Linked DNA regions of Macaca mulatta. The protein of the gene in region 1 interacts with the protein of each later gene in a biochemical or structural test. Links are inferred from orthologs where the notes say so. Each region holds a gene or a part of one and is shown on either strand. Other genes may lie near its edges.

The links. The genes of interacting proteins can lie anywhere in the genome.
Region 2: the proteins of KIT (region 1) and GRB7 form a complex in vitro, tested with the Homo sapiens proteins (3 studies listed by BioGRID and IntAct, with this or other methods). The link is inferred for Macaca mulatta from reciprocal best matches to the Homo sapiens genes KIT and GRB7.

The regions. Positions count from the first base shown.
Region 1 is NC_133410.1:78,765,778-78,769,289, reverse strand, and holds part of KIT (mast/stem cell growth factor receptor Kit), read left to right. Parts: intron 1-1,542; coding exon 1,543-1,736; intron 1,737-2,945; coding exon 2,946-3,052; intron 3,053-3,143; coding exon 3,144-3,270; intron 3,271-3,512. UniProt on the Homo sapiens protein: Tyrosine-protein kinase that acts as a cell-surface receptor for the cytokine KITLG/SCF and plays an essential role in the regulation of cell survival and proliferation, hematopoiesis, stem cell maintenance, gametogenesis, mast cell development, migration and function, and in melanogenesis.
Region 2 is NC_133421.1:64,090,946-64,094,910, forward strand, and holds the start of GRB7 (growth factor receptor-bound protein 7), read left to right. Parts: upstream 1-1,160; 5' UTR 1,161-1,591; intron 1,592-1,809; exon of another isoform or gene 1,810-1,850; intron 1,851-2,029; exon of another isoform or gene 2,030-2,380; intron 2,381-3,965. UniProt on the Homo sapiens protein: Adapter protein that interacts with the cytoplasmic domain of numerous receptor kinases and modulates down-stream signaling. Promotes activation of down-stream protein kinases, including STAT3, AKT1, MAPK1 and/or MAPK3. Promotes activation of HRAS.

The sequences.
Region 1 (3,512 bases):
GGCGGAGCTTGCAGTGAGCTGAGATCCGGCCACTGCACTCCAGTCTGGGCGACAAAGCGAGACTCTGTCTCAACAAAAAAAAAAAAAAAAGAAAATGCAGAAATCACCGGTCTTCTGTGTCGCTCGTGCTGGGAGTTGGAGACTGGAGCTGTTCCTATTCGGCCATCTTGCTCCAAGAGTGTTTTCTTTTGGGGAATACTAAGGAGCCCCTGGGAGGAATGACCACAGCGGAAGCAAGCCCTGTAGTTACAGGCATTAATTCAGTAGATACACAGGGAGTGGCGAGTGTGTACCAGACACTGTTCTAATGGACAGAACATACCCAAGTCTTTTTGCCTTTATGAGTTTATATTCTAGTGCAGGGGTGTTCAATCTTTTGGCTTCCCTGGGCCACATAGGAAGAAAACGACTGTCTTAGGCCGCACATAAAAAACAGTAACACTAATGATAGCTGATGAGCTAAAACAAAAATTGCAAACAAAACTCATAATGTTTTAAGCTTTATGAATTTGTGTTGGGTCGCATTCAAAGCTGTTGTGAGCCACATGTGGGCTGCAGGTGGGACAAGCTTGTTCTAGTGGGTAGAGACACATAATAGATGGAATAAACAGTGAATGTATGTAGGTGTTAAGAAGGGAAACAGGAAATAGCTAGGTGTTTAGAATAGGGAAGTTGGGGTCTGGCTCATGAAAAGATCCCTTGCAGTGGTGGTCTCAGCCACTTGCAGTACAACTAGGCCTTCCTGCTTAGAACTCACACTTCGGTCATCACTCTGACTATTTCCTGGTCTACATTCTTGATTTTTTTGTTGTTGTTGAGACGGAGTCTCACTCTGTTGCCCAGGCTGGAGTACAGTGGAGTGATCTTGGCTCACTGCAACCTCTGCCTCCTGGGTTCAAGTGATTCTCCTGCCTCAGCCTCTGAGTAGCTGGGATTACAGGTGCCTGCCACCACGCCCAACTAATTTCTGTATTTTTAGTAGAGATAGAGTTTCACTGTGTTGGCCAGTCTGGTCTCGAACTCCTGACTTCAGGTGATCTGCCCGCCTCGGCCTTCTAAAGTGCTGAGATTATAGGTGTGAGCTACTGCGCTCAGTCCCTTGAAGATTTTTTATGATTTCCTCCTCTATGCTATTTATTTTCAACCATTCATGTACCCTTTTGAAGCTTGTTTATTTTAGGGATCTGCTGTGTACCAGCATATATGCCTGCCATTTTATTGAATTCCTTTCCAGTCCTTTCAGTAACCCTCTGCAATGGGTATTACCATCCCCGTTTTACAGTGGTAGAAACTCAGTCTTTAACTCATCAGGATTCAAACCCACATCTGACTCCAAAGCCTCCTCTGCCCTTTCTTCTCTTCCCCAGTGCTTTTTTCACTCACTAGGTCACCAAAGTGCTTATTCTTAGACACTTGTAAAAGGACATTTTCTGTTGATTATGAACCTCTAACTTTGTTTTAAAAGTGTGCCACGTCCCAAGGGTCTTATGTATTTATTTATTTTCCTAGAGTAAACCTGGGCTTTTGTTTTCTTCCCTTTAGATGCTCTGCTTCTGTACTGCCAGTGGATGTGCAGACACTAAACGCATCTGGGCCACCGTTTGGAAAACTAGTGGTTCAGAGTTCCATAGATTCTAGTGCATTCAAGCACAATGGCACGGTTGAATGTAAGGCTTACAACGATGTGGGCAAGACTTCTGCCTATTTTAACTTTGCATTTAAAGGTAACAACAAAGGTATATTTCTTTTTAATCCAATTTAAGGGGATGTTTAGGCTCTGTCTACCATATCAATCATGATTTTAAGTTCATTCCAACATTGACCATGTCATTTCTGGTAATACGTACATCACACCATACTGTCATCAAACTCGCTATGTTTCATTTTGTACTAGCTTGTTAAGTATATGTTTTTACCAGAGCACTTTTAACCATGCTACTTTATATATTTTATATGTATGTGCGCCTCTTTTATATTAGTTGTATATTTACAATTGTCTCCATTAAAAAGGGGTAGAGAAAGCAAATGGGGGGGAATATATTTACCTTACACCCAAACAGAATTAGAACAATCTAACATTTAAATTCAATTAAAAATTTCAATTATTTAAAGTGAATTATTTTAACACTTTGCCAGACACTGTATCCAAAAGTTAACACTGCCTTTATGAAGTCATGTTAGCAAGTTATTTCTTTAAAATATTTAAAATTTGATTCATGTGTGACTAACTCTCTTAACATAAGTTAAAAGTTCCTTGTGGGCAAATTGCTGAATTGGTACAAAGTGGGAAGACAAAGAAAGTGGGCACTTACTTTTTAGGCCTTCTTGGGTTTTGTTTGTTTTTTGTGTTTTTTTTGTTTGTTTTGTTTGTTTGTTTGTTTGTTTTTTTGAGTCAGCAAAGACTAGTGCCAAAAAGTGGCGTATTTTCTCAGGTTTTGAGTAATGAGGGGAAGAATCTTCCATTGTTCTACATCATCGATTTTTCAGACGGGGCAACGAAAAGCATACCTTAAAAATGGTGTTTTTTTTTTGTTGTGAAAGACATTCATGCTCAGTGTAGAAAATTTAGAAAATACAGGAAAGTGTAAAGAAGAAAATATAAACCATCCATAAAGGAAGCTTCTTTTTAAAAGTTGTACAAGGCAGGGATTTGATTGAAGTACAAAGTGCATTCAGATGTTGCTTTTCATTGAAAAACAGCATAAATTATTCCTTTTCTACAGAAATCTCAACTTCTATTCTGCAGTATTCTGGTTTCAAGTTATATTTTTAAAGATTCATTTGAATAACAAGAGTACGATGTAACCAAGGTGAAGCTCTGAGAGTCACATAGCTTTGCTTCCTGCCATGGGCTGTGAGTTGGGAGGTCAGTTTGGGAATGAGTGGCTGTGGTAGAGATCCCATCCTGCCAAAGTTTGTGATTCCACATTTCTGTTTGATTTTAGAGCAAATCCATCCCCACACCCTGTTCACTCCTTTGCTGATTGGTTTTGTAATCGTAGCTGGCATGATGTGCATTATTGTGATGATTCTCACCTACAAATATTTACAGGTAACCATTTATTTGTTCTCTCTCCAGAGTGCTCTAATGACTCCGACAATAATTCTTAAAAGGTGATCCATTTTCCCCTTTCTCCCCACAGAAACCCATGTATGAAGTACAGTGGAAGGTTGTTGAGGAGATAAATGGAAACAATTACGTTTACATAGACCCAACACAACTTCCTTATGATCACAAATGGGAGTTTCCCAGAAACAGGCTGAGTTTTGGTCAGTATGAAACAGGGGCTTTCCATGTCACCTTTTTGGGTACACATAACAATGACTTTAAGGAACTCCAGTAGCTTCCTTTGTTTTGTTCCACCTGAAACAATGAGTTTTCTGTGAAATTGCACCCCTTTTGATAGGTTTGGCATAGAGAACATTGTAGGAAAATGTCTCTAGACAAAATTGTTTTTAATTCCTTTATTGATTTTGAAACTACATAAATGATCCTTCAATTCCACCACCAG
Region 2 (3,965 bases), on another chromosome or scaffold:
GATTAACATCAATCTTCCTGATTGGCTGTGTGAGGATAGGGCGGGGTCTGTTTTTGTTGCTTACCCCAGTATGCCCAGCACCAAACATGGGGCTGGCATATGGTAGGTACTGAACAGAGAGTTGAATAAATTAATGAGTGAATTGTCTACTCTGCCTTTGCACAAGCTGCTCCATCACCCAAGAGACCTTGCCTCCTCCCCCACTTCTTTGCTGGGCACATTCATACCGGTTTTCCTAGGAAAACTCTGGAGAAAATTGAGGCAGGAGTCACTCCTCTGTGCCCCCCCCATGGTGGACCTCTTATCACCCTAAGGATTGTTTGTTTTCCTGTCACCCGCATCAAGCTGGGTGGTGGCCACAGCCTTTGATTTCTGCCTCCCAACCCTTCTCCCAAGTACCCTGTTTGCCCAGTGCTGAACTAGAGAGCTAAAGTGATCCCTGAGAGAACTAAATCGATCCCTCAGGCCGGGTGCGGTGGCACACACCTGTAATCCTAACACTTTGGGAGGCCGAGGTGGGCAGATTACACGAGGTCAGGAGTTCGAGACCAACGTGGCCAACGTGGAGAAACCCCGATTTACTAAAAATACAAAAATTAGCTGGGTGTGTGGCCTGTAATCCCAGCTACTCGGGAGGCCGAGGCAGGAGAATCTTTTGAACCCAGGAGGCGGAGTTTGCAGTAAGCCGAGATGGCGCCACTGCACTCCAGCTTGGGTGACAGAGCAGGACTCTGTCTCAAAAAAATAAAGTGATCCCTCTAAGAGGAATCTCCAGGGGCCCAGGCCAGAGCTTTCTCTGGGTCACCATGGCTTCTCCCACTGTGCCACCCAGCCTAAGCCCCTCGATTTTAAAGGGGAAGCCAAGACTCTGGACTTTGCTCAGAAGGTGGGGGGCGGGAGAGGGGCTTACCCTGGGTGCCTCTGAGGGGCCAGGGCACAGCCACCATGGTATGGGTGCCTGCAGATCGACGGGCAGGCCATGTTGCTGGACACCCCCGTGGCTGGCGTCCCTCCTTGGCAGGGTGCTCTTTGCCCCATGGGGTGGGATCCAGAGCTGCAGAAGTGCCCCCTGGCTTGGCCAATGAACAGACCAGGTTCAGGGAGGATGTTTGGGAGGAGTGGACCGGTGGTTCCCTTTACCTTGCAGCCCTCAGACCCTCCCCCCGCCCTCCCAGGTGGTCGGGACTCTTGATCTTCGCTGTTGGTGCTGTCTGTTCGGCTGTCTTCCCCGCCTCTTCCTAGGCACCTGCACCCTCTCTTGGCACCTGCTGCCAGGCTAGGAAGGGCAAAAACAATCCCAGTTGGCGTAGAGTGTCAGGGAGTCCCCACCCTCCTCCCAGGCTTCCTCCTCCCAGGCGCCTCCCCTGGACACGCCCCCATCTGCCCAAGATAATTTTAGTTTCCTTGGGCCTGGAATCTGGACACACAGGGCTCCCCCGGCCCTGACTTCTCTGTCCGAAGTCGGGACACCCTCCTACCACCTGTAGAGAAGCGGGAGTGGATCTGAAATAAAATCCAGGAATCTGGGGTTTCCTAGACGGAGCCAGACTTCGGAACGGGTGTCCTGCTACTCCTGCTGGGGCTCCTCCAGGTAAGGGGACAGAGATCGGTCTCAGACAACAGCCTGCCAGGCAACCCCCAGCCGCACCAGGGCCCCAGGCTGTGCCCGTCTCCGGCCGAACTGGCCGTCGGCCCAGGTGGGCGGATTGGAGCCACCTGGCTCTCCCCCTCCCCCGCTCGGTGATGTCAGGCCCGGGGCGGGGGCTGGAGGGGGACAGGTACTTAAGGGCCTGGCGTCTCCCTCCCTGAAGACGTGGTCCCAGCCGGGTGTCCTGATGTTCGGGGTTCAGGTAAGAACCCAAGCGGGCATTCATCCTTTGGGGGCAGGCACGGCCGGTCTGGGGGCCGGTAGGGAAAGGCTGGGTCTCCTGCTGGGTTGCTCGGCCTCCCACTTTTCTCTTTTCCTCCCATCTCCCACCCCGCCCCCTCCTCCCCACCCGCCCTCTTTCGTCCCCATCCTGGTTTCCAGCCCTCCTTGTTCCCTCCCGGTACACCTCCCCGAAGCCAGCAGCGAGAATGGGAAGGAAGACCTGATTCTCTCCTCCGACTTGGCTTTCCCGCTGAAACTGGCCCCTCCCCGCACACCCTGGGAGAGCCGCCCTCACTCCCTGGCTCGCCCAGTTTACCCCAGTTTGGGTTTCCCCAAGTCTCTAAGACAGACGTCTCCGCGGGCTGCGGGGAGATGTGGGGAGGGCCCCCTCCACTTTGGAGGACGGTGAAGGAGAGGGATCCTCTAAATTGTTGAGGCTCCATCTCTCCAGACTGTATGCCCTGCTCAGCAACATCGCCTCCGGCCCTCGGGTGGGAAAGTGGAGGCCGGGTGAGCCGGGGTCCCTCCTGGCTTCAGCATGAAGTGGCCAGGAAGGCTAGAGGGGTGGGTGAGGGGCTCTGCAGTGCGGTGGGGCCTGGGGAGAGTGGGGTAGGGGATGGCAGATGGTTTCCTCTGCTTGATGAGGCTAAGGAGAGACCCAGGTACCCGGTCTGGGTCTCCCTGGCAGATTGAGGACAGAGAATGCACCTGCCGGCAAGGTGGAACCCCCCCTCGCCGCCCCGCTCCAGCCTCACTGCCCACCAGGAATGCTCCCTTTTGGTCCGCCGGTCTTGGACTCTGCTCTCTCCTGATATCCTGCTGTGTGCGGGGTGGGGGGACCTCATGGAAGCAGGCAGCCTGTAATGATTAACCGCACAGACACTCCAGCATTCTTCCCGAATTAAACTTTAAAAGAGCTGCCCCGCCTTCTCTCATTGGGTATTTTTCCTGAGTGAGAGTGGGCGGGGCCTCAGAGTCCTGGGTCCTCCCTTCTACTAGGAGTCATCCAGGGGTTTCTCACCTTCTCACCTGGGCCCTGCACCCTAAAAGGTTATAAGCCTGTCCCGTGGGGGCGGGGCGTGGAGTACTGGGCGGACAGGGACGCTCCCGCCACATCCAGGCCCCTGGCCCAGGCCTCAGTCCCGCAAGCCCTTCCCCCTACTCTGGGAAGTAGAGTTGTTTTCTGTTGGCCCTGAACACCGGGCCCCGCCACCCGCCCTTAGGGCCAGCCAGGTGGGGCGTGATTCAGGAAGTAAACAAGGAGGTTGGGAGGACGGGAACGCGGGTGGGGCTGGAGCCACTGGGGGAGGAGGCAGCTGGGAAGACACCGCCGGAGTTACCTCGTTGAGGGGACAAACTGATTTTGGGGGTCGGTTTTTCCAACCGAAACTTTCCCGGTGCCTCAGTTTCAAAACTCCAGATCTCTAAGCTGCCAGGCCTACAGCCAGGAGCCCTTCCCCTCCCTGCTCGCCTCTTTGGTCTTGAGGATTCCACCCGCCTCCAGCCTTAGAAGGGGCTGAAGGGCCCGGGTGGGGGGATCTGAAGGCAAACCCCAGCCTTAGGCTGGCCCTCTCTGATCTCTGAGGCCAGGCTGTAATGTGATTCAAATCCACTTCTAACCCCTTCCAATCGCTGCCCTCCTGAATTCTCTGCTCCTCTCCCCATCCCACTGTTGGCCCCCTGCAACCTGGAATGAAGTCACCAGGGCTGTTTGGAGACCGGGGCTGTTTGGAGGGTAGACTGGGGTGGGAGTGGGGGATCGTGTTCTGATATTGAGGTGCTGGTGTCTCTTGCTAGCGGGTGGCGGGTATATCTTGCCCCTCCTGGCCAGACCCTGGGCCCCCTCCCTGGCCCTTCATCCTGTCTGTCTTTTTGAGTGTTTTCCCTTTCTGCTCCTGCTCCTGTGGTACCCCTCTGGCCAGGACACCCAGGAGAATGTGTCGGGAGGAACCTCATCCACACGGGGCGGGGGCTCTGAGCGATGCTTTGGGTGGGGAGGGGCACCGCTGGGACACTGGCTTCTCTCCAAATGGGCCTCTGAATCCAGGCCGGGCATTGCCTCTCTCTTTCCCAGGTGAGGGACTCCCTGGCAAGG